5 linked regions of the Tribolium castaneum genome follow. The main gene of each other region encodes a partner of the protein of the gene in region 4 in a complex. Links are inferred from orthologs where the notes say so. Each region holds a gene or a part of one and is shown on either strand. Other genes may lie near its edges. The genes, in order: zinc finger matrin-type protein 2, beag, Mfap1, Smu1 and Prp38.

Region 1 (5,104 bases), on a different chromosome or scaffold from region 4:
GAGCGACGATGAGATCACACACACTCGCTTTGAACGAGATGACAACAGTGCCCCTTGCAACGAAGACGATTTAATGAATTTTCTAGCCGAAATTCAAGTGATCAACCCTGAGAGTATAGTGAAGTTGGCCACTTTGGGCGATATTAAGCCGTCGTGTAATCGCGTGGCCGAAAATTTGGAAAAAATCAAGGCGTACCTCAAAACCTGTACTCCCCCGAATCAGCCTGACTTGTATATGCAATTGATCAAAGGAGTTGAGGCGTTGCATGAGAAGATTTGTACAGAATCTCCGTTCAGGAGCCGTAAGTGAAAATGGATTATTCAGGGAAATTATTTTTATTAATTAATTATTTAACAGAATTTGAGAAAATTCACAAATGCCTTCATGAGCTCAGAAATGATTTGGAGGACTGTGGAGGACCGGCAGATTGGAACGAAAATTCAGACAATGCCGCAGTTTGCAAGTAAGTGCATAAATGAAATTCGCTGTTTAAAAGTAACTAAAAAATATGATAAATTAAAATACATAATAGCATGATGTATAATTTTGTGTGGAACCGTTAACTTACTGAGACAAATATGTCAAAAATTCTTATTTATTATTTTCCTCTTTTCCTCCTTTTTTGTGTAACAAGCCGGTCAGTGTTTAATAACTAATTTTGTATTATTTTTAAATCCAGAGCAAAAGTTTTCATATTTGATATAAATTGTATGTAGATTTCTATCACAACGAAAATAGTTTGGCGCTTTTATTTTTGTACTCATAAGCGCGGGTACACGTTTCTGTATGTAATATCAAAGATTAAGGCAATCTGTGGAAATATTTTACAAATTTTAAGTAAATTTGCAAAACCTTCATTGAAAAATTTAAAATAGAAAAAAAATGAATTTAAAGAGCTCTGTCACCTGTTAAAATTAACACGCAACTAAACTAAACTAAACCTATGACCAAACTTATAATTAAAATAATAACTACAAACATTAACCTTATTATAGTTTTCAAAAGAACCTTATCTAGCATTTCTGAACATTCACTTTCGATAAAACTCCAATTTCTGTTGTTCTGGCACTAAACCAGCAAAAAACTCTTTTAACAATCCGGGGAAAAACATTTCTGATACGACATACATGAAAGCATGACGTCAAGTCAAAGACATTTCATTGGTTTATTTGTAAGTGGTCGATATGGAATTTAGTAAAATTCATTTTTACAAAAAATAAAGATATTTTCACACCACACGCCACTGCGTTTTAACGCGATTACATCGAAAAGTTCGTTACGAACTTTGAAAAAATCGCCAAATTAGCCAAAAATATTGTTTTTACTTTTTTCAAGCCTTCAACAAGTTTTGGAGCTAAAAAGTTGAAAATATGCAATCAAGTTTGGTGCAACGGCAACTTAATAAAATATAATTAACATTTGAATTTAATAGTACTTACATGTTACCTTTGAGTGTTACGAAACTTATTTAACATCATGGGCTTCTTTGATCAAATATTTAATTGTTTTCAGGGCTTACAAAGACATAGCTGACTGTTATTACATCAAAACTGCGAAAGTGTGTGGAAACAGCGCTGCAGCAACAACTAAAGAACTTCTACAGTCGATAATTGACAGTATTCTCACAATAAGCTGTGACAATGTGAAGGAGACGCCCAAAGTCAAGGACCCAATGCCTGAGGAATATATGAAAAAAGAAAATAAGGCAACTTGTTCCTTCACATTTATTTCATTTACAATTATTTTTTACAGGCTGACACAATGATTCTTCCAACTGTACTTCACTTACTAGTTAGCATAATATTGATTTTTATTTAAACTTCAACAAATCTAAATTATTGTAATAAAGGTATTGAAAGACATTTTGCTACTTTTTTTTAGACGATCCAAAACCTGCAAATCCCATAATGCTAGCAAGCTCACTTGCTTGTTCAGATGTTTCTTCCAACATTTCCTCAGCTTTTCGCTTCTCTTTCCTTTTCTCCCTCCTGTATTCGCGTAGCTTTTCCTCTTCTTCGGCAATTTCCTGCATGCGAGCTGCCATATCGTAATCTTTTTTCTTCTCCTCCATTTTCCGCTTGTTTTGGTCAAACCTTCGTTTAACTGCGTCCAGACTGCTGCGTTCGATCCGCATCGACATTCCCAAGTTTCGTTGATGCTTTTTGCCATTGATGTGATCCAAAAAGTTGATTGAATCTTTAACAACACAGTCGCAGACGTTGCAGTAGTAGCCCCCCGATTGTGATGTTGGTGTGTTTTTGTTTATTACAATGCTTTTGCCAAGCTTTGAATCCAGGTCTACTTTATACTCTCGGGTTTTTAGCATTTCACGTTTCACCGGGGGGCCTTTCTTTTTCTTGGTTTCTTCTTCGAGGCGCTCGATTTCTTCCCTCTTGCGCTCCTCGGCTAACCTCTCGTATTCGTCCCTGTCCCATTTTCGGCGGTGGTCGTCTGGTCGCATAGTCATTTCTGATGATTTTTCTTTAGCAGGATCACAATCAATTAATAAAAACTCAAGTACAATAACAGTGTTGACAAACTGCAGTACACATTGACAGCTGTCAAATTTTCAAGGTTAGGTTATGTTGCTAACTTCATAAGAATAAAGGTTCATTTTCTAATAAATTGCGAATTTGCGCCATTCAGGATGTTTATATATATCATTAGATTATTACAATTGAATTCATTAAACTCATAGAATACTTAATAGATTTTTTAATTTTTTGGTTATTCGACTCTGCTATTACATCTAACGAAGTTAGCTGGGTTACCTGTTTAAAAATTTAAGATGGGAAAAGATCAAAAAAATCCCGTAATCAAGACAATTAGTTATTTATTTCAATTTTTTTATTAATTTTTAAAATCTAATTCACAGAATCTTTCGTTTGCAATTTTTCAGTCTGTGGCTGTTCAAACTACCACTACGTTATGAGTTAGTTATAAGTTATAAATACCAAAGAAAAAGTGGATAACTCAAAAAATTTAAATTTTTAACAAATTATTATTTTGGGTAGGCAACACAATATTCAAATGGCAGCCTACGCAACTAATTATACAGAGTGTTCCAAGTTTTATGGTCGAAGCAAAAATTAATATTCTAGTCGAGTACAAATAAATTAAATTAATTTAAATTACAAAAAATCAAATTGAATTTAATTCAAAATTAAACTAATTCAAATTAAGTAGCATTAAATACATTGACAAATGTCGAGTTAACCGCGATTAAAATTTAATTGCAATTAAAATGTTTTGTAAACCGGCGCTCTTAGTCTAGACAATTAATTACGCTACCATTTGATATTTTGAATGTGGTCAAGTATTAATTGCTGTGAAACATTATAAACCAATTTTTTAAAATAAAGTTCAAGGTGTATTTTCTATTATATGATAAAATTCTTTCAATATTTAAAACCGTAACTGCTAACATAGAATTATACGATTGTTGCCAACTTTTGAGTAATATTATTATTATTACATTATCAGAAAATTCTGATGTGGGCTCTATTCCACAAACGACTTTTACACTTTGCGCTTGCACGTTCCCGAACACCTTTATGTTCCACCAACAACAGTATTTTGCACACTTAGCAAAAAATATACTTAGCAAAAATACTTCTTTTTACAAAAATATGCCAAAACAAATGCAAAGATTGGTGGAAGACATTAACTTTAAAATTTGCAATTTATGCAAAATGCAAAGTTGCAAAAAATTTTAGTGGAACAAGGTGATATTTAGTGATTAAGGTGATATTAAAAAAAATATCAATTTTAAAAAGCCGATTATGGCGAAACTATAAAGATTGTAATCAAAATCTATTTGATACAATATTACATGCAGCGTTGAGCAAAAGTATTAAATCAAGCGTTTTGTGCGTAAACTATGTACCTTACAAAAAATACTAATTAGTACATCATTAACTACTTTAAAAATGTAACGATTTAAAAAAAAAATTTTGTTCGAAATAATTTTTCAAAATTTCAAAAGTTAAGTAAACCTTACATTATTCAGTTAAACGAAATAAAAGGTAGGGCAAAAGTGATGTCGCATATTTGCGGTCACATATTTTATGTACTCAACGTCAGCATCAGTAGCGCGCAATAGTTAATAATTTATTTGTCCGTGTAGGTTAGAGAACATACGTTTTTTAAAACTGATTCTTATGCAAAATTTTCTGCTGATTTCGAATCCGAAGTTCGATTTTCTGCATGGAATTGCCTTTATTATGTGAACATTTTCGAAAAACTTAAAACTGGTAAAATTTTGTGTTTACATGGTCATATCTTCCTTCTGCATAAAGCAAGAAAAATTTTTTTTGCAAAAGATTACTTACACAAACTAAAACACAAGTTTTAGTTTCGACAAAAGAAAACTAAGAAAATTGGATTTTTCTTGTAACGTTTCATATTTTTGTAGTGAAATTTTCAAGATGCGAGAATTTTTTTTGTCTTAAAAGATAGACCTATTTATACATAATCGAAATGAAATTATGCCAATTGATTAAATATGTTTTTGGCCCAAAAATCCTTTTGATATCTTTAACACTAACAAAGTTATTGCAATTGACCCGGCGCATCCACCAAAATTAAAATAATTTTATAAATTTTCCCAGTTTTCTTTTCTCAAAACTAAAAATTGTTTATTTATGTTAAAAAGTACATTCATTGAGAATCTTTTGCAAAAAATAGTTTCTATCTTTATCCCGAAGGATAAAGATACGACGATGAAAACGAAAATCTCTTCAAAAACAAGTTTTTCATAATAAAAGCAATTCCAAATCAAAAAAGTAACTTTAGATTCGAATTCAGCAGAAAACTGTACAAAAAGATAGGTATTCAGTAAACGGTTCGCTGAATTGGAGCGAGCGCGCAATAGAAAACTAGTCTAAAACTACAAATATTTGTCTAATTTTTTAATTTTTAATTTATTTGTTTACACCATTTAAAACAACAATTTTATTAATGGGTTATTAATGAGGCGTCTTGTCGCTAGGTTATTTTGTCGGTAAGCCATTTTGTCGGGGCTATTTTGTAGCAGACTCTTTTGTCTGGTCACGGGACAATATTAAATTCTTATTACTTTGTTTTGTTAAAAACCAAAAGAAT
Region 2 (6,693 bases), on a different chromosome or scaffold from region 4:
AATTGGCGTTAGGTAACGGTTTTTCGCTTCTTTGGGCCAAATGAAGACCGAAAACTTAATTTAAGACTACTTTAAAGCTAGTTACTGGGGCCCATGTGGTTCATGTTTGGAGACGGAACTCCCCAAAATTATAGTTAGAAATGTCGGAACCACAATTTTAAGGTAAAATACACGTGAAAGAGGCAAAACTTACGTGTTTAAAGCCTTTTTTTCACTTAACAGATTTTCCGACACGATTGTAACCACAAAATGGCCAAAAACTTGTGCCAACTGTCAAAATCGGGACTTTTTTGTCTTGTGATTGGTAGTGTTATGGTAATATCGTAAAAAAAGGGCAAATTAATTTGTTTTTGGGCACGAAAGGGCCCTTAAGTCGAGAGCCAGGGTTAGGTGGTGGTATTTAGGTTCAAGTTGTGTCAAAAGTAAGGATTCTACGGTTAAGATACCAAAGACGTACAAATGAAACGCTCGCGTTTTCGGTAGTTCCTTTATTGTCACCAGAGAGCGCACTTGTTCCATTAGCAGATAGCAAAGAAAAAATACAGGCACATAGAGCATTAAACTCTCGATAGTAAGACAAAAAAGTAAGGAACAAAGTTGTAGAAAATCAAATTTCCAATATATATTTTTTATTTAAATTAACTTATTTATCTCCTAAATACACAACAAAATTATTTCTTCTTGATAATGCTTTGGATTTTTTGCCACTCCCTGTCCAAATGCGCCTTTTCGTTCTTATCCTTATGCTTCCTGGACCTGCGCCCATCTGCCATTTTAAGGCCGTACTGGAAGGCTGCTTTCGGCAAAGCCTCCTTCTGGTTCATATAATCGGAATACTCCTCAGCTGTGTCAAAGTCCCAGCGTCCAATCGGCCCCTTTTTATTCCCCAAGTCCATCTTAGAATAATCAACCTCATCATCAGAATCATCAATCGCATCGTTCATTTCCTCCAATCCGGGATAACACTCAGCATATCCCTCAGGCTCTTGAGCCAGTTTATTAAGGATTTGTGCCGATTTACTGACTTTGAAAGTCGGTCCGCTATTTTCAAGCGCTTCCTCTTGTTTATCAAAGTACGTGTGTTTGTTATGGTCACGTGACGAGTTTCCATGTTTACCACTTCTTGTGGGTACGTAATCACCAATATCTCCATAGATGGAGTCATCACCGGTTGTACGTTTTGTTGTTTTTTTCGGTTCGGGTTCTTCCGGTTGTTCGTTTTCGCGACTTTCGGGGAGTCCCCGTTTGGTTTTTTTGTTCTTTCGGTTGCCTTGGCGCAAGTAACTTAAAATTTGGGTTAATTTATTTATGACAATGTCGTTGGTTGTGAGGGTTGTGGTGAGTTCAAATGACGGAACGTCGGCGATTGAACGGATTAAAGTTGTTGGAATGTCTGATTCAGCCTCATCGTCTGAAATAAAATTTTAATAGTCATGTTGGTATTAAATTAATAGGAATTTTAACATTAAAATTCATGTAAAAATTTTTAAAAAAGAATCACAAAAACCTTTAAAAAATCCAAAAAGAAGTACAGAAACAATGCTAGAAAATAAATAAGAGCAATTCTAAAAGAAACTAGAGAAGAATTTTTATAAGCGAGAGAGGAGAATATAAAAAAAATTGCGGATTTAAGATCTAAAGAAGTCTTTAGGAGATAATCATAAAAATCTTTAAAAAAATCTAAAAGACAGTAAAAAAACAATGCTAAAAAATGAACAAGAAGAATTCTAAAAGAAACTAGACAAGAATTTTTATAAGCGAGAGAAGAGAATCTAAAGGAAAATTTTGCTGATTTAAAATCTAAAGACCTCTTTAGGAAAGAATCACAAAAATCTTTTAAAAAAATCTAAAGGTAAGTACAAAAACAATGCTAAAAAATAAATAAGAAATATTATAAAAGAAACTAGAGAAGAATTTTTATAAGCGAGAAAGGAGAATTTAAAGGAAAATTTTGCTGATTTAAAATCTAAAGACCTCTTTAGGAAAGAATCACAAAAATCTTTTAAAAAAATCTAAAGGTAAGTACAAAAACAATGCTAAAAAATAAATAAGAAATATTATAAAAGAAACTAGAGAAGAATTTTTATAAGCGAGAAAAGAGAATTTAAAGGAAAATTTTGCTGATTTAAAATCTAAAGACTTCTTTAGGAAAAAATCACAAAAATCTTTAAAAAAACCTAAAGGAAAATACCGAAACAATGCTAAAAAATAAATAAAAAATATTATAAAAGAAACTAGAGAAGAATGTTTATACGCGAGAGAAGAGAATTTAAAGGAAAATTTTGCTGATTTAAAATCTAAAGACCTCTTTAGGAAAGAATCACAAAAATCTTTAAAAAAAATCTAAAGGTAAGTACAAAAACAATGCTAAAAAATAAATAAAAAATATTATAAAAGAAACTAGAGAAGAATGTTTATACGCGAGAGAAGAGAATTTAAAGGAAAATTTTGCTGATTTAAAATCTAAAGACTTCTTTAGGAAAAAATCACAAAAATCTTTAAAAAAACCTAAAGGAAAATACCGAAACAATGCTAAAAAATAAATAAAAAATATTATAAAAGAAACTAGAGAAGAATGTTTATACGCGAGAGAAGAGAATTTAAAGGAAAATTTTGCTGATTTAAAATCTAAAGACCTCTTTAGGAAAGAATCACAAAAATCTTTAAAAAAAATCTAAAGGTAAGTACAAAAACAATGCTAAAAAATAAATAAGAAATATTATAAAAGAAACTAGAGAAGAATTTTTATAAGCGAGAAAAGAGAATTTAAAGAAAAATTTTGCTGATTTAAAATCTAAAGACCTCTTTAAGAAAGAATCACAAAAATCTTTAAAAAAATCTAAAGGAAAATACAAAAACAATGCTAAAAAATAAATAAGAAATATTATAAAAGAAACTAGAGAAGAATTCTTATAAGCAAGAGAGGAGAATCTAAACGAAAATTTTGCTGATTTAAGATCTAAAGACCTCTTTAAGAAAAAATCACAAAAATTTTGTGATTTTGAAAAGAATCTAAAAAAAAGTACAGAAACAATAAAAAGGTATATCTGAAAATGTTTTAAACGAAACTTAAGAAGATGTCTATAAGAATTACAGGCTTGAACAGCTGAAAATTTCAGACATAATCTATAATACGTAGTTTATGTGTAAAAATTGATAAGAAAAAAATTTATCTATACCCAAATCAATCACATAGGCCATGCGTCCGGGCACAAAAATCTCCGACCGTTCAATATGCCGACTCTTCAGCGCACAAATCGTGTGGTAAATCGACTTCCCAATCTTCGTCTTAAACTTAAGCTCATCCTCATCCTTCTTCTGCACCTCCTTCTTCTCCTTCTCCTCCGTCTTGGCCGCCAGCCTCTCCAACTCCTGCTCCTGCTCCTGCTCGATGTGCTGTATCTCGCTCCTCACCTTCTGCAACAGGGCATAATCCAGCCCCTTCACCAAATGCGTATGCTCCATATCGCCCCCCAAGAACTTGCTCTCTTGAATCATCTGTCGGCGCCTCTCGGCCGCATCGAACCCCGACTTCAGATCAGGCGCCACGGCACGATAGGCCTGAGCCGTGGCCACCGGGTCGTCGCTCTGGTAGTCGGGGTTCACCCCCTGGCGGCGCTCACTGGCCCTGTCTCGGTACTTCTCCGCCAGTTCTGCCATCTTATTGTCCTCCTGCTTCTTCAACTTGGCGTAGTAGCTCTTCTTCTTGCGTCGCGCCTCGTTCTTGTCGTCTTTGGGGGGCGGCATCGTCGACGAGTTGGCCATCGCCTCCCGGATGGAGCCGGGGGCGGGCGCGTTCGCGGGCGCCGACCGCGGGGTCATCAACAACTTGCGGAAGTCGTCGTTGGTCAGCCGCTGCGACCCGGGGGCCGCGTCCGAAGGCATTTTTAACCAAAAACTGGGCCTGAATGTTGCAACTAGAACTGTCAACTGTCAATCACATAACCTTGCTTCCTCCTAGCCAGAAAAAAATTACAGTGAACCACTTCAAATGAGACCAAATAGCCCCAAAATGCTAAAAACAAGCTTTTTGCATTTACTACAATTACTATCGCGAATAATTAACCAAAATAATCAAGGAAAAACAGCAAATTCTTGTCGATAACACGTAGAAAAAATTAAAAAAAAAACAACTTTCCAACCCTGTCCCACAACTAACACTTAGTAATTATTTAATTAAGTATTTTTGCAAACCTACACGTATTTTTTTTTGCAAACAAAATTTATCAAAGTTTCAAACCAAAAAGTGCAGATTCAGTTGGGGCGCCTAACCACCGTTTTTTTCATACTGGGGGGGCTTTACGTTACGGTGAATAAACGCAAACGGCTTGAATAATAAATAATTCACCGGAAATATCACTATTTGGGGCTTTTAATTCATTAAATTAGTAAATAGGGGTGTAGGAACCTGCTTGTTACCGGCGGAGCGCACCTCCGCCATGTTTGTTTGAAAATTGTGAGCAAAGCGTCTGTTTTGCGGCTTTTGAAGTTATTTTAATTTCTTGCACGAAATCCCTCCAAAGTTGAGTAAAATTCGGCGTAAGTGTGCCCCGTGCGCCCCCCGGTGTGTACAGTGTGTTTTCTCCATCAGGGCACAATGAGCAAAAGCAAGAGGACGAGTCCTTCCCCCGCAGACCAAGAGGCCAACGAAGAGTACGTTGTGGAGAAAATAATCGACAGTCGGATAAATGCGGCCGGTATTAAGGAATACTACTTGAAATGGATCGGTTACGACGACAAGGACAACACATGGGAGCCCGAGGAGAACCTGGACTGTCCCGGGCTGATTGCGGCTTTCGAGGCCGAAAGGGCCAACAAAGACAAGGAGCGCAGCAAGAAGCGCAAGATGAACAGCACGCCGACGCCCGACATGAAGGGGGCCAAGAGGAAGAACGACGAGAAGAAAGTGCACGGGTTTGATAGGGGGCTAGAGCCCGAAAAAATAATCGGGGCCACGGATAGTTCCGGGCAGTTGATGTTCCTCATGAAGTGGGAGGGTACAGATGAGGCGGACTTAGTGCCCGCGAAACAGGCGAATATTAAGTGCCCCCAAGTTGTCATTAGGTTCTATGAAGAGCGTCTCACTTGGCATTCGCCCACAAATGACGAAAATAAAGCCGAGTGAAGGCTAGTTGTAAGGATATTCATAATGTACATATTCAACACGAATTATATACTATTATTAGACGAAAAAATCATTTGGACTAAGTAGGCGTTTAGAATCTTCCCGTATTATTATTATTTGAATCTGACTCCCTAGCTGTAAGTTTAGTTTCTTGACTTAATCAATAGAAAATTGTAATAATTTTTTTTATTTGAAATAAAACAAAACACCATTGCTTCGTTATCACTTATCACCCGAAAATATCATGAAAAGTGGTCCCATTGTACCCCACATCGCTAGTCGGCGCGTTCACGAAGTGAATATACATCCTAGAAACACAAAAAGTACAAAACCACACCAAAGACCCAATTACCGGTCCTTCGAAACCCCCAATTCCTTGCACACAACTTCGTACAAAGCCTTGGCGTGCTTTTTGTTTGGTTCCACGCCCAAGGCGCCAATGCTCATCAGAGTGGCTTGAGCGGCGGGCTCACTGGTGCCCCCCCAAGACATGTGGACGTCTCCGATCACAGTAGCCACACAATACTTGAAAAAAATTGAGTTATTCAAAGTTGACGTAACCTCAAACTTACATTGAGTGGCTTTGATAAGGAATTTGAAACAACTTGGCACAATTTCTGAGGCAAATCGGACGGGATTTTGCTCTGGGGCACGTTTGTCTCAACGCGAAAGTGAGGCATTTTGCGGAAAAAAATTGGCGGTGTTTTTATAACCTAGAAATGGACGTCAGAATTGACCTCTGGGTGACCTCCCAGGGGGGGGCGGGAATTTATACAAAAAGTGTATTGTTGAGGAAATTTGAATTTTTGAGTTTGGAATTCAAAATAGGGGCACAAGGGCCTAAAAATGCAATTTTAAAATTGGATTTTTTCAAATTACGGGCAGCCATGTTGTAGTGTTTGAAATGGCGGCAAATTCGCAATTTTACTATATTTTTACCTTTTTTTTCCTTATTATTAAAAGCTACGTCCAATAATTAAGGTGTTCCATTTGAAAAAATCTCACTTTTGTGTTTTTTTAATATTGGGACAGTCTGTATATGGGTAAAAAACGTTGTAAACAAAATACCAATATTTTTTATTTGTAAGAAACAAACAAGACCATTTGGGTAATCAACAATCACTTTCCAAAAATGTCATGAAAGGTGGTCCCATTATAGCCCACTTCACTGGGCGGTGCACTGTTAAAGTGAATATACATCCTAAAACCAAAAAAAAAAAAACTCAAAAAAATCCCTAAAACCACAACCTGTCCTTTGCAATTCCCAACTCTTTGCACAGAATTTCGTACAAAATTTTGGCATGTTTTTTGTTCGGTTCTATGCCCAAGGAGCCAATGCTCATCAAGGTGGCTTGAGCGGCGGGCTCACTAGTGCCCCCCCAGCACATATTCACGTCCCCAATTACAGTGACACAACAATACTAAAAAATAAATGTAAGAATATTCGGAAAATCTTGAACTTGTACCTACACTGAGCTGTTTCGACAAGGAATTGGCGACGATTTGGCACAATCTTTGCGGCAAATCGGCCGGGATTTTGCTCTGGGGCACATTTGTCTCGACACGAA
Region 3 (6,442 bases), about 890 kb from region 4:
TGAAGAACCCAAAGACATAGAGCGCAATATTAACGTGACTGTTATGGATATAGAGTATTACGAGACTTTTATTTCGCATCAGCCTTCCAAAACCGGGCGTTTGTTGAAGAATGACAGCCCGGTTAAGCAACAGAATGTGCCCGCTATTACGTACGATTGCCAATTTGAAGCGAAACAATTGCAAATTCTGGACGTACAATTCGACAATCAGAGCCCGAACTTGTGCCAGATTTATCAAGCCTTGACGGCAGCTGAAGCCAACGATATCGTCAACCTCGAACGGCTTGAAACCCTCGGCGACTCTTTCTTAAAATTCGTAGCTTCCTTGTACATTATTTTCAAATTTCCGACCTACAACGAGGGCAAATCGACCACTCTCAAAGGGAAGCTGGTCAGCAACAAGAATTTGTACTACTTGGGAGTGAGGAAAAATCTGGGCGGTATTTTGAAAAACAGCGACTTGTCCCCGAGCGATTGGGTCCCTCCGTGCTTTTGCATCCCACAAACAATCAGCAAAGCAATCGGCAATAAAGAGTATTCAGTAGTCTCGTTATTTAACTGTTGCATTTCGCCGGAGGAGCAAGTTTCAGGTAACTTGAACCGAAAGACTTTGAGCGATATGACAACGGAAGAAATTGCCCCGGATGAGGAAAATTCGTACGGCAATATGTGCAACTTTTTGAACAAACAATACGTTGGTGATAAGAGCATAGCGGACTCTGTTGAGGCCCTCCTAGGCGCCTACTTTCTAAGTGGCGGGATTCAAGGCGGGATCAAATTCATGGAATGGATCGGCATTTTGCCCCTTTCTGAACAAATCCAACGCCTGATCGAAACCACTCAAGTCGACCCCGTCCTCAATAAAAAATCCACGAAAACTGATGTCGATTTCCACATGCCACAGTGGCGCGAAATCGAGCAACGTCTCGGTTATACGTTTACCAACCGGGCGTTTTTACTCCAAGCTTTAACTCATTCTTCCTATTCGCCGAATCGCATAACACTGAGCTACGAACGGTTGGAGTTTCTTGGTGATGCTGTGCTTGATTTCCTCATCACGTGTTATATTTTCGAACATTGTGGGCATTTGGAGCCGGGTCAAGTGACCGATTTGCGGTCATCCCTTGTCAACAATAACACGTTCGCAAGCCTTGTTGTCCGATGCGGGTTTCACAAGTTTTTGCTCATGATGAATTCGAATTTGCAAGGTCATATTGACAAGTTTGCCGATTACCTTGCTTCAAAAAATTACGTGATCGACGATGAAGTTCTGATTTTGTTGGAGGAGGATGAGATGAATATCGCCGAGTACGTCGATGTGCCTAAAGTTTTGGGTGATATTTTCGAAGCCCTTGCTGGCGCAATTTATCTAGATAGCAATAAGGATTTGAAGACTGTTTGGAGGGTGTTTTACAAGATTATCTGGCGCGAAATTGATCTTTTTAGCAAGAATGTGCCAAAAAATGTCATCAGGAGATTGTACGAGTGCCATACTGTTTACCCTCCGCAATTTAGGTAAGTTGTGTTGCGTTTGAGCCTTGATTTATTTTTTCTTTCACAGTAAAGCGTTGGAAGTTGGTAATCAAAAGACTATGGTTTCTTTAGACTTTATGTGTGAAGGTAGAAAGAAACGAGTTCATGGGTTTGGAACGAACAAAATCTTGGCTAAAAGGGCCGCTGCCAAAATTGCTCTTCGTGCTTTAAAGTTGTAATTAACGCACGAAGTCACAATGCGCTTATATTGATTCAGTTACTCGCTAGGATTGTTTGAAAAATGCTGTTTTCCATTGTTCAACTATATACCGTCAGTTAAATTCATTCGCTTTGATACCTATCACAAAAATGGTGAATTTAACTCACGCTGATAATTAAGTAGGAGAATTTTTAAATTACAGCCAACCTTTAATTTGTCATTAGGTGGTTCCAAAAATAATTCGTTTTCAAATTAAAACTGTTTCAAGTTAACCACTCAACCGCATTTTAAAACTGACTGGTTAACATAAAACTGTTTAATTTAAAAACTGTTGCGAACTTTAGTCTATACTTTATGATGATGTTAATTTACTTTGTATATTGCTTGAAGCTTGTATGAAAGTGTGATTTCCCTATTACATTGTTCTTTAATTGATGAATAAAAATATATATTTTTTGCATCTAAGTCTAGTGGTTATTACACCTTACTACTGCGTTTTCCTTTTTTTCAACGAGGGTTTTTCAAAGACTTGCTTGACGCCCCCTGCTTGTGTCGAGTGAAATTTGAGATTTTGCGAGGTTTCACTTGACCAAGGTGAATCGAAATGAGTTGTGTCTTGATCCACCAAATGTGTGTACTTCGTTCGTCCAGACCGTCCGAAATTTTTGACTTGCATAACTTTCGGCAAAATAGTTTTATCGAAGTGATCTTCCAGAGTTGCTTGTGCGAAATCTCTCTTGAAAACCTCGTCCTCCTTATCAAGATAGAACGCACCACGGTGGTAATATTTCTGCAAGAATTTGTACTTCCCCTTGATGGCTTTGTTTGTGACTTGTTTGGGGTTTAGTCTCAGCTCAAGCCTTCTCTCTTCTTCCGTCATGTTCCTCAATCGTTCGACTTCAAGTCGCTCTTTTTCAATAGCTTCGCGTTCTTCGCGATCTCTTTTGATTCGCTTCAACTCCCTTAGTTTCCAAGCTTCGTATTCAATTTCGTCGTTTTCATCGTCTGTGCAAACGTCGTTAAGGTTGGGTTCGTTATTTTCTTTATCTTTCTGTTGCTGTTCCTTCCTGATTGTTTCCTCAACAAGACGTAGCGTTTGTCGCCGCCTTTCTTCCGCATTTCTCACAGCTTCCAATTCTTGCTGCTTCTGCTTCTGTACCTCCTTTTCTTTTTCTATGATCGTGATCCTGTCTTTCTTTCTTACAAAAATCGGTTTTAATCTGGGGCCAGTCTCCTCCTCCGAATCTGTGTACTCTTCATACTCTGACGATTCTTCCGACGACTCCGACTTTTCTTCTTCTTTCACCATAAACTCCTCTTCCTGCTTTTCCATCATGCGTTTTTTCATCATTTCTCTGCGTTTCTCGATTTCGCTATCGCTAAGCTCCACTTCGGACTCATCATCGTCAGGAGCCGCCTCCAGTGTGTGTTTATGTTCGGGTAAATTAATTTGTTCCTTTTCGGATTCTTCATCAGACGATTCCAACACTTCTGGCTCCACAACGTGACGGCGGCGTTCTGGCCTCACTTCAGTTTCAACTTCTGCGATTTTCAGACGACGCAAACGGGGGTCATTCAGTTCGTCATCGCTGCGTGAAGGCTCCGGCGTTGGGGGCTGTTGGGGCTGATTGCGACGCTCCAGGAAATCGTCGTCGTCGCTGTCGCTGCTCGAACGCGCGTCTTGGGCATAATCGGGCTTCTTTCCAGACACGTAGCGGTGCACCTTCACCTTTTGCATCGAAATTTCGCCTGGAAATAGGCGGAAACGGCTCAGAAGGCATTTTTATTTGTTACAATTTTTTTATTAATTTTTGACAATGAGGTTATAGCCGTCATAGGTAAGAAAGATATTTTACCTTTTTCGTTGCGAACGGGAACCGCACCCGCAGTACTCTGGATGCCATAATAGGGCTGGGGGTTCATCATTGTGAAAATCGACTATTGAAAGTCGTTTTTAATTCTAAAATAAACGAAAATTGTTTTTGTGCCACAACTTTACATTTGACAGTTGACAACACAGGTTGACAAGTGACAAGCATAGAATTGAAAAATAATCAATGAATTATAAAAATAAAATCAACCGGTTCGAGAATTTTTTTGATAAATGAACCAAAAAAAAATTTTGTTCGTAACTGATTTAAACTCAGCGCAGAGACTTGATTGCAAACATAAATAAATAAGGTGTAATTTTGGTTGTATAATAATCAAACCAATATATTTTTTATAATAATCGCAATAATTAATACAGAATCTATGGATTTTGCAACTTAGAATTTTATTATATTGTATTATCTATTGGTTTTTATATGTTAAAACTATATCGTGTTTCTTTCTAAATGATACGTGTAGAAAATGTGTTCCTTTTATCAAACAAATTACAAAAAATTGTGACTTTTATTGTTTAAATTGGTAATAAAGAGTAAACGTTTTTTTTTGTTTATACGTTTCATTCGAAAGTTATTTGGATTGTTTAAACCTGTGGGTAAAAAAAGTCGAGGGCCACCAACGTAAGAAACCGAAATGCAAATTAGCTGTTGCCGTTGGGTTGGCAATACCACCTGTTGATGCTGAATCAAGTTAAATCTACGAAACGCAAGCGTGGAAGAAGACGCGGCGAAGCTGTGTTATTATAATTTTTACGCGATTGTGCCAAAATATTCCAACATTATGAACAAATAGAGTGGTTGCGGGTGTATTTTCTGTGTTGTGTGCATTTTATGAGTTACAATAATTGGATTACAAACGGCAACACAACTTGTACCAAGTGGTAAGTGTGATGGAAAGAACCGTCTTTGAAACCGTATTTTCGGTTATAAACCATCCACCGGTAACCAGCGTCTGGTTTACCGTTTTGGTAAAGCATTTTCGAGTTGGCTGGTCTTGGCTGGCCTCGATGGCAGCGAGTTGAAGCGAGTGTCCATTTGAAAAACCGCTGAAAAATCGAATAAATGGGCTATAATTTGCGTAATTGAAGCCAATGCCGGGATTGTTATTGTCAAGTGCGGATAAAAACAGCAAAATAGGCGCGGCAAATTCTTGTTTCTTGTATGTCAGCACGATCAAGAAGTCTGTGTGGAGTCTGACGTTTAGGCAGGGCATGCTGCGATGCTATTATGCAAAGTATACCAAGAATCACTGTCTATGGGGCTACCAAAGTGTTATTTATCTTTCGGCCTGCAGACGATGACGTCGAGATGGATGTGATGGGAATGGGTCAACGACACCCGGAATGCCCCCCTTTTCTTTCCCGGAGTTTTCCGGCGATTTTTTCGGGTCCGGAGACGACGTGTCAAAGGTCTACCGGTTATTAGAGACGCGGATGGAATTCATTTAAATGTATTATCGGAGATCGCTCAGAATCAGGTTTTCTGCTGGTGTTTGCTGAGCGATATCTGGGTCATTAATTGTATTTATTTGCCAATTTATAAAAACAAAACAAGGAGGACACTACAGGGAATCAACTGGGTTTTATTACTCGTTAACTGACACCGCTATGCAAAAATTGTGAAAACGCAGTTGACGTCATTTCCCATAAACTCGAAGGTGAAGTAGTTTTACTAACATTTCACAAATAATTGAATCGCATTTTACCAGATGTGTGTAAGGTTTCTAAACATTTTCTCTTCGAATCCACAAATCCGCAAATTAAATTAGTAAATTACCCTGAAAAGCACAAATGAATCTTACTAATTCTTTTAAAATTATCGTTTTCCATAACGAAATTAGCACAGATTCGATAATATTGCAATAAAACTGCATTTATCTTAGACAAATAAATAAGTAATAAATGCAGTTGTTGTTGTCAATGTTTTGTTATTTAACACAGTACCTTATCATTGTAACTTAAGAAGACTACAATCATAATAATGTCACCAAAAAAAGAAGCAGGAAGAAAAGAAATTCTAAGAAATTTTCAAACGCTTATCTCTATTTAAATATTTCATGGCTCTTCGAAGTATAAAAAAATAATTAGGTGTGTTACTTCGCTTAATAATAAAATATGTACATTTTAGGTGAAATTATTTACTTGACATGTTGACAGTCTAATTCAGTCCAGGTTTGGACTTTAATTTCATGGCCAACCGGGTTCCAGTACGTGTGAATGGGTGTAAAAATTCGGTAGCAAACAATGAATATATTATGTTTTGACTTCCCATTCCTAATTAGAACAAATTATAAGTGAATAGTTTCGTTATTGCGGTCATTTACCACTCGAAGAATGTCTTTTATATATTTACCAATTCATTAAATAAGCATTAAATTCAAGTCTTAAACGGGTATTGTTCTTATTCGGTTAAACTTTCTATGGAACTTAATGAATCAGGTCTAAACTAAATATGAGGAATTTAGCACGATTTCTATACACTTTGAAATTCTTTTTGCAAGGTTTTACGGCGAGACTTTTCAAAACTAGAAGTTAGTAGCGAGATATTTTGAAAACAATGCTCGCTTTGCATTTCTTGGCGGCGTGAAAACTAAATTATTGTGTTACGAGGATGCGGATATTTGATTATGACGTAACAGTAATTTTGATGTTCCACACTGTGTGTATGAATAATGCATTTTTCCTTGTGTATGCAAAAACATTGCAAAATGAGAATTGTGTAAGACTATGTAGACAGAAATTCAAGTCGGTTTCTCCTGTTTTCGTTTTTTAAAGTGTATAGGTGCAGTTCATTATTATTTAAATGACAAAGTCGCCAGCGATACTTTCTTCAGGTTTATTAACACGAAACCAAATTAAATATG
Region 4 (6,653 bases):
ATAAGGTTTTTCCCCTATCAAAACAATTAAAAAAGGCGGATTTGGGTCAGGTGTTACCAGTGTGGGTCCGCAAATGCGCCGTAAGGTTCGACGATTGGTTGAATTTTTTCCCGCAAATGTTGCACCCGTATTTTTTCTCAGTGCAGTGGATGTTTCGGTGTTTGTATAAGGAGCTGGGCAGAGCGAAAGTTCGCCCGCAAACCTCGCAGTTTAGGGGCCGTTCGCCCGTGTGTGACCGCATATGCATGACTAAGAGCTTGTTCTGTTTGTAACTTTTGTTGCAAATTGTGCAGACGTGTTTGCGCTCAACGTCGGCCAAATCGTCATCAAGCGTCGTAAAATGAATTTCTTTCAAATGTTTTTTGAGGAATTTGTGGTCACTAAACGTCCGATCGCAGATCTAACAAATGACAAATTAACATTTGAATTATTTAAATATCTGGCGCTCTTACATTGCACATGTAGTTACTGTTACATAATTTTTTTTCTTCTGTATTATTTTTATCGAGCGAGTGCTCCATTATATGTTTTTCTAAGAAGGCAGGGGTCGTGCACCCTTTTCCACAAATGGAGCAGAAATATTTGTTCTGACCTGTGTGGATTTTAATGTGCTCGCCGAGAGTCCACTCATCTACAAACCAGAATGAATAAAATGAGAAGTGGGTGAAACTAACACCTTTGAAAATATCCTCGCAAAATTGGCACCGATACAAATTCGATAAATCAAAAGTACTGCAGTTCGTTTCTTGCGAGTTGCTCTGACAGGACATTATTTGGGTATCAGTTTCCCACGTTTCTGGCAAACACTGCTCTGCGATAGTCTGGAGACTTTGCATGGTCTCGGCCAAGTCAGACACCACTAAAACTGTTGATTAAAACTGCCAACTATGTTTGCACAGTTCGATACCTGTGCTATCATTCTGATTCGTAAAGTTATCAACCAGGGAATGCGACGTAGCATCGTTAAAAATATCTTGGAAAATAGAAGACTGTTGTAAAACCTCGCTGCTGCCGAATAACTGGTCAGCTTTCATATCACCGATCATTATATTGGGCTCTGCTTGCAAAGACACAGTTTGCAGACCGACACTGTTTATGTATTGTCGCAAAGAAGCGTCGGATTTCTCGCATTGCTGTTTAAAACTGTAAGCCCTGTTTACCATTTGCAAGCACTGCGTGCAAATTTGGCAGGGGAGACCGTCGCCCTCAATTACCTTCAGGACACATGTTTAAATAAAGTAAAAAAGTGAATGAAATACCTGAATTGAGGCACACGACATTAACATATTGGCCACACAAGCTCCGAATAACGGCTTCAGACTGGCCTTTTCGAGCAAACACGTGCGACAAATTTTATCCAATTTCATTTTTAAAATATTTGAAAAAATGTGTTCCCTTGAAAACTGAGGTTATATTAAGTGACAGTGACACTGACAGATCGGTATTTTTCTTTTTATTTTATATTTTGTAGTGATTTTATTTAAGTTTATCCCAGATTTCGAAATTTCTTTGTCCTTTAAATAATAATTTATTGCTTTGTTATATTTTATCGATTTTTTTAGAAGTTTTACTTTTTTACAGAGACGCCGTGAGGTGGCGTCACATGTGGTGACTTCAGTTGGGTGTGAAAATAAAAAACTGAATTGAATTTACGCTTTATTTCTTAGGATTACAAACGTTACAAAATTACAATAATTACGGTTTCCACAAACGCACGAGTCCGTCCTCGCTATATGTACAGAGTAAATTCTGATGTGGATGGTGTGCTATACCAATAACGTCTTTTTCATGAATCTGGAACAAAAATTAGTAAACCACAATTGTATTAAACCATTGGTGAAAAACCTACATTTAAAGTTCTCTCGAGTTTACCAGAATTTGTGGAAAAGCAATACAAGACTAGATCTTCCCCGACGCAATAAATCCAGTCACCTCTTGGTGACACTGTTGAACATACAAAATCACCACCTTCACGTTTACCACTTGCGAATGACCTCACAATCTATCAATAAATGAATTTTTTATGTTTTTGGTAACATCACAATTTACCTGTCCTTGAAGATTCATAATAACTACAGTATTCGTGCGATTACAGACAACAAAATGTTCGGGATTTTTTGCAAAGTTGTGAATATTATTCACCGTGATATCGCCCGCGCCTAAAGATTTGAAAGTATTGATGCATTCCGCAGCTCGGATGCTCCACACTTTAACGGTTCCGTCAGAAGAAGCACTAAATAAAAATGTTTTAAAAGAAGACACAAGTTTAAAAAATACCTCAAAACGTTATGACCATCCTGAGTGAAAATAACTTCATTTACGAACGAAGTGTGCCCACGAAACTCCTTCAATATTTTCCCAGATTTTAGGCCATGTAATCTATAATTACCGTAAAATTGGCGCCACTAGATTTTAAATTATTACCTAATAGTGTGATCAAACGAAGCGCTTAGAACCTGACTGTTGTCTCTAGAAAACTGTAAACAGGTGATACCTTTCGAGTGAGCTTTTTCGATTTTTCGCAAACACTGGCCCGTGCTAATCCTCCAAACTTTGATTCTTCCGGTCTGTGACCCAGTTACCAACATTTCGCTGTCTCGCGAAAACGCCATACATAATACTGCATGTTCCATCATCATAAAGCTCTCCTAAACGAAATGTAATCGAAAAAAAAATTATATTTTGATGTTAATTAATTTTTTCTATTTGAGAAGAATATTTTTATCTAAAGAAGAATTTATAAAGTTAGATTTCAGTCTTTATGGCTTAGGAAAGAATCACGAAAATCTTAAAAAAATGTACAGAAGTATATAGAAACAATATTTAAGAATAATCTACAAAAAATATAAACAAAATTATAAAAGAATTTTGAAAATAGTTTTTAAAGATTAGAATTAACTGTTACCTGGGCTTGATATTTCAAGTCCTTGCGAATTTTCCCGGTGGTGAAATTCCACACCTCAATAATCCCATCAATGCTCCCTGTGACCAGATATTGTCCATCTGGTGAAAAGCGAGCGCACTCCACGTGCGACTTTTGCCCAAACTTGATTTGTTTGGCCATTTGAGTTGGGAATTGTTCGTCTTCCTGGTCTCTGATGGCAGCTTTGCCCCTAAACAAGTCAATTGTGGTACCAGGAGGCAACAAGCCTTGGTGCTGTTGCCATTTTAGCGCCTGGCCAAGTAAGGCCAAAAGACGTGACGATGGTACAACTGATACTTCCCCTGAAAGGGCGTGAGCAATAGCAGCACGGCGTTTTTCTTTGCTGCCTCCGTCTGGATAAGCTTCACGGGGGTCAAAGTATGAACGAGCGAGTAAATTTTCTGTAAAAAAAGTTATTTTTGAAGTGTTTACTTTTGTTGAGTACCTAGGTGAATGTAACGCTCGGGCTCGTTTTGCTTCATCATTATCATGGGGTCTGTTTGTCTGAGTAGGGATCTGGCTGCTCCTAACTCTCTGAGTTCAATTAATTCTAAAACAATCTAAGAAATTTGTAGTTTCGCGAACTAGTTGAATAATTTGGCGTCTACCTGTTCGTACAAGTCGATTAATTTTTTATCAGGGAGTTTAAGGGACTGTATCGCTTTCAAAACAGTGTCCCAATGCCCGTTGTTTATGTCGGCACAAAACCCATCAACACTATCTACAGTGTTTAATGTTACACCAGTTTCCTCCTGTAGTGTGTGAAGAGTTCTTAATAAGTTAGATTCTTTTAAATATTGCTGAATTAGGCGGATTACGCTGCAAGTAAATAAAAACATAACACTGTTTGTTTGGTTATGTCGTACTTACTCCGCAGATTCGATTTCTATAGACATATTTTAGGAGTTGTGGCTTCAGAGGCTTTACGTTATTATTCTTGTGCTAATAATCACGTTTCAAATGACAAAAAAGTGCTAAATTGCAAATAAAATGATCCTATTTTTTTGACAACTCCAACTTACGTTTTTGACATTAATGTCTCCACTACAACACAAAATCGCTAGATGTCGCCAAATCAAAAATTTTTTGAAACAACTTCAGTTTTATTTTTTATTTTTGCCTAATATATTGTTAGGGCGGTCACCTCACCACTAGCCCTACTTATTTAACGGTTTATTTAAACGAGTTTTTCTCGAAAATTATTTACTGCAGACCAACTTTTGTTTTTTCTAATCCCAATTCCCACAAATAGGGGTTGTTTTTGGTGGGAGTTTGGTCAGTATCAGAGAAAATATGTGCAAGATAATTTTTATTTAACGTTAACTAAGACAATTCTATTTCCATAAACAATATGGGACAATCAACTTTTTAATATTAGTTGAAATATTAAACTAAAAAAATAATCACTAAACAAATAATTATGGTAATCCACATATGTTTCTAAAAAATATAAGTACATAAGCAATAATAATTTTACCATTACATACTTGCTTAAACAGAATATCTAAATGTATTTAATATATACACAACTATTTTTTTTTTTTTGTACGTGGTATTGTGAAAACTGTGGATTAATAATATCATTGTATAAAAGTGAAAATTTTGTTCTAATGATATAATTTTACATAGTATTTGGTTATTTCTTTTTCTTAATATTGATACTATGATCAGTACAAGATTTATGACCAGCAAAAGAATTCTCAAAAATTCAGTTTTTTTTAACGTCTTTTTTTTATTTGACGTTCTGTTTTCCGCTTTTGCCGCTCACTATATTTCCTGACTACTGCAGTTAATGAACTAATTTTTGTAATTTTCCTAATTTTCCTAAATAATTTTCTACAACTAATACTGGTACAATATTATAGTCCAACAACCATTTACTTAAAAACTGACAACAAATATTAGATTATGTAAAATTCTGCATGATTGTTGGACAATACAATTCAATTATAGTACAAAAATGCGTTGCCTAATGAATTTTTAGATCGGATATTGAATTAAATAAAGCAGCACATTTAATAAAGAAATTTAAAAAAATAAAAAAAATCGTTAAGCGATTTAAAATCTCCACGGTGGTCGAGGTGTTGCACTTTTCTTAACTTTCAGTGACCCACTCCTGCAAAATGCTGAAGTAGGACGATTCTTTCGAGCAACCTCTTCTTTCACAGTTTCCAAAATTCTTGCTTTTTCTTCACTTGGATCAAAATATCTCTCACGAGCTGATTTGGATACAATTTTCTAAAAATACGAATTTATCTTCAGGCTTATGTTTAAAAGCAGTGACATTTTCAGGAGTAATAAAATATTCAATTTCGTTTGAGAAGGCTAGACTGTAAAAAATAAAAAATTCAAAACTTACCTAAGGCATTTCGGCTTGTGTTCAGTGTTTTGGGCAGCGTGTGTGATTGTTGGTGCAAAAATTGGTGAAAATAAAAGCTGCTACTATATACTAATGCACATTTTATTAATGCTTCTTATAAAGTTAATACAGTGATGATATACTCAATACCATCTATTTTGCAAAACAAAATAAAATATTTTTACTGGAAACAGCATAACTGAAACGTATCAAAACGCTTCAAAATGAAAGATTTCTCGCTTAAAGGATAAAACGTTTTGATAAGCTTTTTACAACGAATAACCACAATTTTAACGCTATCAACTACAAATGTAAATTAAAACTAGAGGAAATAATTTTGTTTCAACCTTAATAAACAGTACAAAAATGTTGATCGTTTGGTCATTATTCTAGGTATCACAACACCAAACTATTTTATCGTACATTAATATTACTTTACATTGAAAAATATATTCTTGAAACGAACAGCATTTGCTTATTTTACTCGAAATGAAAGGAAAATTAAGCAAAGTGACACTAGAACCTCAGCATTTTAGTGGAAAATACAGTGTTAGTGTTAGTGGAATCTAAATATACTCTATGAATATACAATTTATTATTCTCCAAGTAATACATGCATTTCGAACACGGGCCTCATGCTGTATCAGTAAGTTAATGTTACTTCTCAAATGTATTCCAACCACATGTTTATCGGTAGTTAAAGAACTATATCCAAGTATCAACTGGTCTAATATAGGTTTAGAGACGGCACATTAATTAAAAAATAACAAATTAACGTTCTTGGTTGAGATTTTCATCAGCTACTGGACCTCCGGCTTCCGGTTGGGACGGCAAGGAGTTCTACACAAAATCGTCAATGTTAATAAATCTAAAGCTAGCAAATCAACGAAATCAACTATCATAAAAAGCCCCAACTGTGTTTACGTACGAAAAGTACAACTACAGTTTCAAAAGGACATTGTGAAAATCCATGCAGTTATTAATCGTCATCACAAAAGCTAATAGTTAATCGAGCTTTCTCATACGACACGAATAACTCATGCCTCAACTTTGTTAGTATCGATTTGACAAAATGATGTGTACACAAAAATTTGGATTTTCGTCTGCAGAATACCTCCCTAACCTAAATGAAATGGATGAAGGACTCAATAAAATTTGTAAAGATATTCCTTCTCCTGGAAGAAAATTATACGAACTTGGTCAGTCTTTAGAATCTGTTATATCACAGTGGTTTACGTCCATTTTAAAATTGGTAATAATGTTTCGGTAAAAACAGGTCCAGAAGTAACACTCACCTGAGAACCACACAGCGAATGATTCTCGCTAGAAATAGCCGACCTCTGCTTTAAATATTCCTTATCGTCGAAGATC
Region 5 (5,306 bases), on a different chromosome or scaffold from region 4:
CATACTACTACCAAAATCAAAATTAATTTGAAACCAAAATGTAGTGCAATAAAATAAAAAATGACATTCTCTTATTTTTTACACAATAACTACGTATTTAAAAAACTTGGAAAAGCGGAAACTCAATTAATATAATAGTTGCTCTTAACTTGTTTAACCACCTTAAAGCCCTGCCTTAAGAGTTTTAGTTAGAAGTATTAGTTAGAAGGTTGGCACCAAAATTGACAACTGTCAAAAAAATGTCAGGTTGAGGTTAGAAATCAATCAATCAAAGAGCAATGCATTGAAATCTCAAAAACCCAACAAAATTCCGACGATTTTTCAAGAATGTTCGTGAATTTCACGTGAACTAAAACCCCCAACAAAAAATGTCCTCGAATCTGGAAGTTGAGCCGGGGGCAGCCTCCGAGAGTGTCCTTGTTACCACCGACTCCTTTGACAATTTTGATCACATGAGCTCGAGCCTCGAAGAAATCAAAAACCTGAATGCACTCGCGGAAAACGACTCAAACGTGGAAAACAGCAACGTCGAGAATTTTGACGAAATCAGCGAGAATCTCTCAATTAACAACGAAGAGGACGATTTCGTCCAGTCAAAGGAGTGGGCTTGTAAGAACAAACATGTCTTTGTCCTCAGCATGGCCGGGAAACCCATCTATTCGAGGTTGTTATCGTTTGCATAATTTTTTTCTTTACAACTTATGTCTCAGATATGGAAACGAGGATAAGCTAGCCTGGTTGTTCGGTGTTATGCAAACACTGGTTAGCTTCGTACAGTCAAATGAGGACACCATTAGGAGCATCCATGCCGGGGACACGAAGTTTGTCTTTTTAATTAAGAAACCGTTAATTTTAGTCGCCGTTTCTCGAACGCAGGAAAGTGTAAATCAGCTGTGTTCACAACTAAAGTGAGGGTTCCCACTTTGTTATTTTTTCTAGTTTTGTTTATTGCAGCTACGTATTTAATCAAATAGCCAGTGTCTTAACCTTGACTAGACTTAATAAAATTTACGAGCAACGCCAGAATTATGACTTAAGACGGCTTCTGGCAGGTGTTGAGAGACTCATTGACCACTTGCTAGATTTCTCAGAGAAGGAGCCTTCGTTCACTTTGGGCGCAGTCCAGTGTCTGTCACTTGCGTCCTCAGTGAGAGACAACATCAGCTCGGCCATTGTCGGAGCTTGCAGCAAAATTAAAGTAAAAAAATTGTTTCAAAAAACATTTTTAAAATATCGTTTCCAGAACCTAGTTTTCGCAATACTTCTCGCAAACAATAAACTTATCACTCTAGTCCGCATGAAAAAATATTGCCTTCACCCGGCCGATCTCCATTTAATATTTAACTTAGTCCAAGCCTCCGAAAGCCTCAAAACGGCTGAAAGTTGGACACCGTTATGTCTTCCACGGTTTGACGCTAGTGGTTTTTTATACGGACATGTGTCCTACTTGGCTGAAGACTGTCAAGCGTGTTTGCTCCTCCTGACGGTGGAAAGGGACGTATTTTTTGCCCTAAGTGAGGCGAAACAACGCATAGTGGAAAAACTGCGACGCAGCAACTGCTTAGAAGCAATCAATGAGTCGCTGAGTGCGAAAGAAGAAACTTGCATTGTTGCGGGTTTCCCCGAACTTAGGCACTATTTGTACAAATGCAAAAGTACAGCACAGTTCTACCAACCAAGCTTGACCCCACCGTACACCAAATATAACGAGAGACTAACAAAGTTGTACAAACGGGCGCATAACTTGTTGCATTGCTCGACGAGGCCGCTAAAGTTGTTATTTGAGAAAAACTCAGACGAGGCGATTTTGGCGTGGGATACGAGAGGTTTTGAGCTTTATGTAGTTTTCGAGCCCTTGATTGACACAAACAGTGCGATTAACTCAGTGGGGCGGCTGCTGAACTGGATTAAGAAAAGGGAGGAGAAGTTGTTTCATCTCAATGCGCCCACTTTTTGAGCCATTTGATTTGTATATATTATAAATATGTAAATTTTGTGGAAATCTAAGGTATAGGCTTAATCTGTGATATTCACAATCCTAAACTTGTTGATGTATTTAATTATTGATTGTATAAAACGATGTATTGAAAAATCAGTGGTGTCTGTCTCGCTCCCGTTTCCTGTCTTTATCCTTACGATCTCGCTCTTTTTCGCGGTCTTTCTCCCGGTCCTTGCGCTCCTTCTCCCTGTCTCTTCTCTCCCTATCGCGCTCCTTCTCCCGGTCGCGGTCCCTCTCCTTGTCCTTCTCCTTCTTGTGGCGTTCCTTACTCCGACTGCGATGCCTTTCTCTGGATCTGCTGCGTTCCCGCTTCCTCTCCCTTTCTTTCTTCTCTTTGGGCTTTTCTTCAACCAACTCGTACTTGTTTTCTTCCTCAAGTTCAATCTCTTCGTCCAAGTCGTCTTCAAGGGCCGAGATCTTGGCTTCGAGTTCGTTGCTTTCTTCCAAAACAATGCGTTTTTGAATGCGTGGCAAAATAACATCACAAACCTTAAAAATTAATTTTACTATCTACCGTAACAAAAAAAACACGTACTCGTTCCTCTCGTAACAATTCGTCAATAAACTCGTCCATGTGTACAATTTCAAACTGCGCTTGGCGATTTTGTCGCCGCAACTTCCTGTTGTCGTTGTACAAAGGCTCAAGATATTTGTAACAGTCTAAGGACGACCCTGTGAGTCTCATGTAGAAAGCACCGAGGGCTCTGACGTATTTAAACTCCTCGTTTTTGATGAATTCAACTACAATGTCTTTCTCTGGTTGAATTTGTAGCATTTTTAGTGTCAAACATAAAAATGGTGTTGGCTTTATATTGCCACCATAAACACCACCCACAAATCGTAATTCCATTGCCTTGTCTACTAAAAGCTCTGCAGTGAGGGCAAAACATTCCTCCTTCCAGTATTTAGAGTCATAAATTCGCGATCTGATGATCTTTTCAACCAGATACTGGGGATTTGTGCCATGGATTGATTTGGCATCTTTTACGGTCCTATTTGCCATAATTGGCCTAATTTAATTTGTAAACTCACTAACGCACCTTATGCACAACTGAATTCGACAGAAATGCACAGTTTATCAATAAATTCTAAGAAATTGTTGACGCTTGTAGTAAACACAAAGTGAGGTTAAAAATGGTTCGCTCTTATCAGACTTTTTGCTTTGCATTGTGAAAAAAATTACAGACAAATAATACTGTGTGAATAATCCAATTAGGAAATACAGGCTAAGGTTATACATTACAAAATTAAACAATAGTACACGTATGAAACAATTTAGTTCTTCAATAATAAACAAGTTTCACGTTTCCCGAATTTCTCATAAAAACTTATTTGCTAATATCGTCTAGTCCCCAGGCGTGACTCGCGGGTGGGAATCCCACAAAAAGTGCCAACCTTTGGTAACTTTGGTTATTACCACCAGACACCATTCTAATTTAAACATGAACAAACGCTCATAATTTAATAAATAGTATTTATGCAAGTAGAAAATTATTAACGCATCCAAATGAGCGTATCGATGGTATTGTTAAAGATGTAAAATTGCTTTTTGGGGGATTGGGTGATTCAAACACTTGCGATCGTTTTAAAAACTTTATTGATGACATTGAGACAGTTAGGCATTAGCTTTATTTGTCTATTTTATGTTTGTTGAGAAGTATATTATAAATTTAGTGTCTATTTACTTATTACTTAACACGTTCACCACCTCGAAGTGGAGTAAAATTGAAAATCAACTGCTGTAGAAAGTCTTGCAATGTTTGTATTGTGGAAAACAGACAATAACAGAATGAGTGAATACAATAACAATAACAGTGAAACACAGGCAGCAAACGTGTGGACTATATACATAAGTTATTTTTCGAAGAATTTTTTGTTTTTATATTTTTTTAGATTGTTTAAGCCCGATAAACATTCCAACTAACTTAAAAAGTGGGCGTGAATATTTATTTCCAATGATTTAAGTTTTTTATTTATAATATACGTTTGTAATACAATATAAAATAATGCTCCTAACACACTCGTTTTTCTCATTTTTGTTTAGGTACAAGTTTCCAGAATTGCAGTTTTCGTATATATCGTATATTAATAACAAAATAATAAATACTTATCAAATAAAATTTTAACTATTTACAATTTATCCCTTAAAAATATTAAATTCGTTAAAATATTTGCAAATTTTTGTATACATGACGAATCCAACACATCCTAAGATTTCAGTCCATTGGATCACAAAGTTTTACACTCAACTATGCTAGAATTTTGTTTCTAATCAGTCGGACATAAGCAACAAAACCAAAAGAAGCACAAGAAATACACTGAACATAAAATGTCACACGCATGTTATTGTTCCACATGAGAATGATGTTTAGATGTGGTTACATGAATCACCTAATGACCAAAATGCTGTACAAGACAGTTGGCACTATCTAAATATAACAAGATTTAGGCCGAACTTCCTAACAAGAAAAATCGGGGGGAATAATGGCATGACTGCAATATTTTCGCTCGCAGAAAAGCCGCTTCCACCCGTGATAAAATAAAACTAAACGAATTTCACTTTTGAGTATTTATTAATAACAAAATGAGAGGTCGTACAAAATAATTTAATTAACAAAATAGAGTAACAGTATTGCAATCAGCCATTACATTATATAAACATAAAAAATCTAAAACATTTTTTTCTAAATTAAAAAAAGTTTTCTACTATATACATTAGGCTGATTTTAACACATGATAGTTAACGTTTGTCGCAATTACTACGATGAACTCTTGTTGATATACTTAGATTCGGCCAACCTATGTATGGACGCATCGCCATCACCCAGTTGTGTCACCTGCAAAGCACCAAATAACCATATAATGACCTTGCTAGGTCCAACATTCACACGTAAGCCGGTCACGTTAGTAGTGGACAGAGTTAGTCATGACCATGCAATGAGCGTCACAAAAACAAACAGAAAATGAAAACACATGCACAAACTACACAAGTCACGTCAAAAAAAGAATCTCCTTCATTGTCGACTTATTTATTGAATTAATAAATAAAAGAGTGTGTTAAGACTATAAAAAGTGCTTAAAATTACAAGATAAACTACATAGATACAATTCAACAAAGTAATATCTACCAGAAAAATAACAAAAACACGGTACAATCCTAAGTATAAATCGATAAAAAAATTGCACTCTTATAAATTATTTACAAATTTCTCTAAACCCTTCATATATCACGTCATCTTAACTAGCACGAGGTCCGAAATCGTGTCTCTAAATCGCACACATCACTCCGGGGGCGGTGGGGGCGGTA

What was found.
Region 1: Smu1 (region 4) and zinc finger matrin-type protein 2 share a complex: the UniProt entries of both Homo sapiens proteins name them as parts of the spliceosome B complex. The link is inferred for Tribolium castaneum from reciprocal best matches to the Homo sapiens genes SMU1 and ZMAT2.
Region 2: Smu1 (region 4) and beag share a complex: the UniProt entries of both Homo sapiens proteins name them as parts of the spliceosome B complex. The link is inferred for Tribolium castaneum from reciprocal best matches to the Homo sapiens genes SMU1 and IK.
Region 3: Smu1 (region 4) and Mfap1 share a complex: the UniProt entries of both Homo sapiens proteins name them as parts of the spliceosome B complex. The link is inferred for Tribolium castaneum from reciprocal best matches to the Homo sapiens genes SMU1 and MFAP1.
Region 5: Smu1 (region 4) and Prp38 share a complex: the UniProt entries of both Homo sapiens proteins name them as parts of the spliceosome B complex. The link is inferred for Tribolium castaneum from reciprocal best matches to the Homo sapiens genes SMU1 and PRPF38A.

The regions. Positions count from the first base shown.
Region 1 is NC_087395.1:20,715,845-20,720,948, reverse strand, and holds zinc finger matrin-type protein 2, read right to left. Parts: upstream 2,586-5,104; 5' UTR 2,469-2,585; coding exon 1,869-2,468; 3' UTR 1,820-1,868; coding exon of another isoform or gene 1,754-1,819; 3' UTR 1,712-1,753; downstream 1-1,711. Other genes in the region: uncharacterized protein LOC656218, read left to right, coding at 1-302, 359-464, 1,514-1,706, 1,754-1,819. UniProt on the Homo sapiens protein: Involved in pre-mRNA splicing as a component of the spliceosome.
Region 2 is NC_087401.1:16,336,764-16,343,456, forward strand, and holds beag (protein Red), read right to left. Parts: upstream 4,184-6,693; 5' UTR 3,886-4,183; coding exon 3,180-3,885; intron 1,412-3,179; coding exon 672-1,411; 3' UTR 190-671; downstream 1-189. Other genes in the region: chromobox protein homolog 3, read left to right, coding at 4,598-5,125; macrophage migration inhibitory factor homolog, read right to left, coding at 5,355-5,433, 5,478-5,650, 5,698-5,805; macrophage migration inhibitory factor homolog, read right to left, coding at 6,245-6,326, 6,374-6,546, 6,596-6,693. UniProt on the Homo sapiens protein: Involved in pre-mRNA splicing as a component of the spliceosome. Auxiliary spliceosomal protein that regulates selection of alternative splice sites in a small set of target pre-mRNA species. Required for normal mitotic cell cycle progression.
Region 3 is NC_087397.1:4,121,095-4,127,536, reverse strand, and holds Mfap1 (microfibrillar-associated protein 1), read right to left. Parts: upstream 3,739-6,442; 5' UTR 3,620-3,738; coding exon 3,550-3,619; intron 3,443-3,549; coding exon 2,181-3,442; 3' UTR 1,713-2,180; downstream 1-1,712. Other genes in the region: Dcr-2 (Dicer-2), read left to right, coding at 1-1,515, 1,562-1,712. UniProt on the Homo sapiens protein: Involved in pre-mRNA splicing as a component of the spliceosome.
Region 4 is NC_087397.1:5,007,200-5,013,852, forward strand, and holds Smu1 (WD40 repeat-containing protein SMU1), read right to left. Parts: upstream 3,973-6,653; 5' UTR 3,820-3,972; coding exon 3,794-3,819; intron 3,743-3,793; coding exon 3,532-3,742; intron 3,484-3,531; coding exon 3,369-3,483; intron 3,325-3,368; coding exon 2,906-3,324; intron 2,649-2,905; coding exon 2,425-2,648; intron 2,380-2,424; coding exon 2,278-2,379; intron 2,234-2,277; coding exon 2,050-2,233; intron 2,003-2,049; coding exon 1,850-2,002; intron 1,795-1,849; coding exon 1,696-1,794; 3' UTR 1,644-1,695; downstream 1-1,643. Other genes in the region: zinc finger protein OZF, read right to left, coding at 1-14, 58-400, 453-631, 677-859, 908-1,214, 1,260-1,367; tau (microtubule-associated protein 2), read right to left, coding at 4,982-5,161, 6,578-6,653. UniProt on the Homo sapiens protein: Involved in pre-mRNA splicing as a component of the spliceosome. Regulates alternative splicing of the HSPG2 pre-mRNA. Required for normal accumulation of IK.
Region 5 is NC_087396.1:19,986,668-19,991,973, forward strand, and holds Prp38 (pre-mRNA-splicing factor 38), read right to left. Parts: upstream 3,169-5,306; 5' UTR 3,003-3,168; coding exon 2,535-3,002; intron 2,489-2,534; coding exon 2,093-2,488; 3' UTR 2,040-2,092; downstream 1-2,039. Other genes in the region: vacuolar fusion protein MON1 homolog, read left to right, coding at 369-664, 711-908, 955-1,198, 1,244-1,957; CycT (cyclin-T), read right to left, coding at 5,281-5,306. UniProt on the Homo sapiens protein: Involved in pre-mRNA splicing as a component of the spliceosome.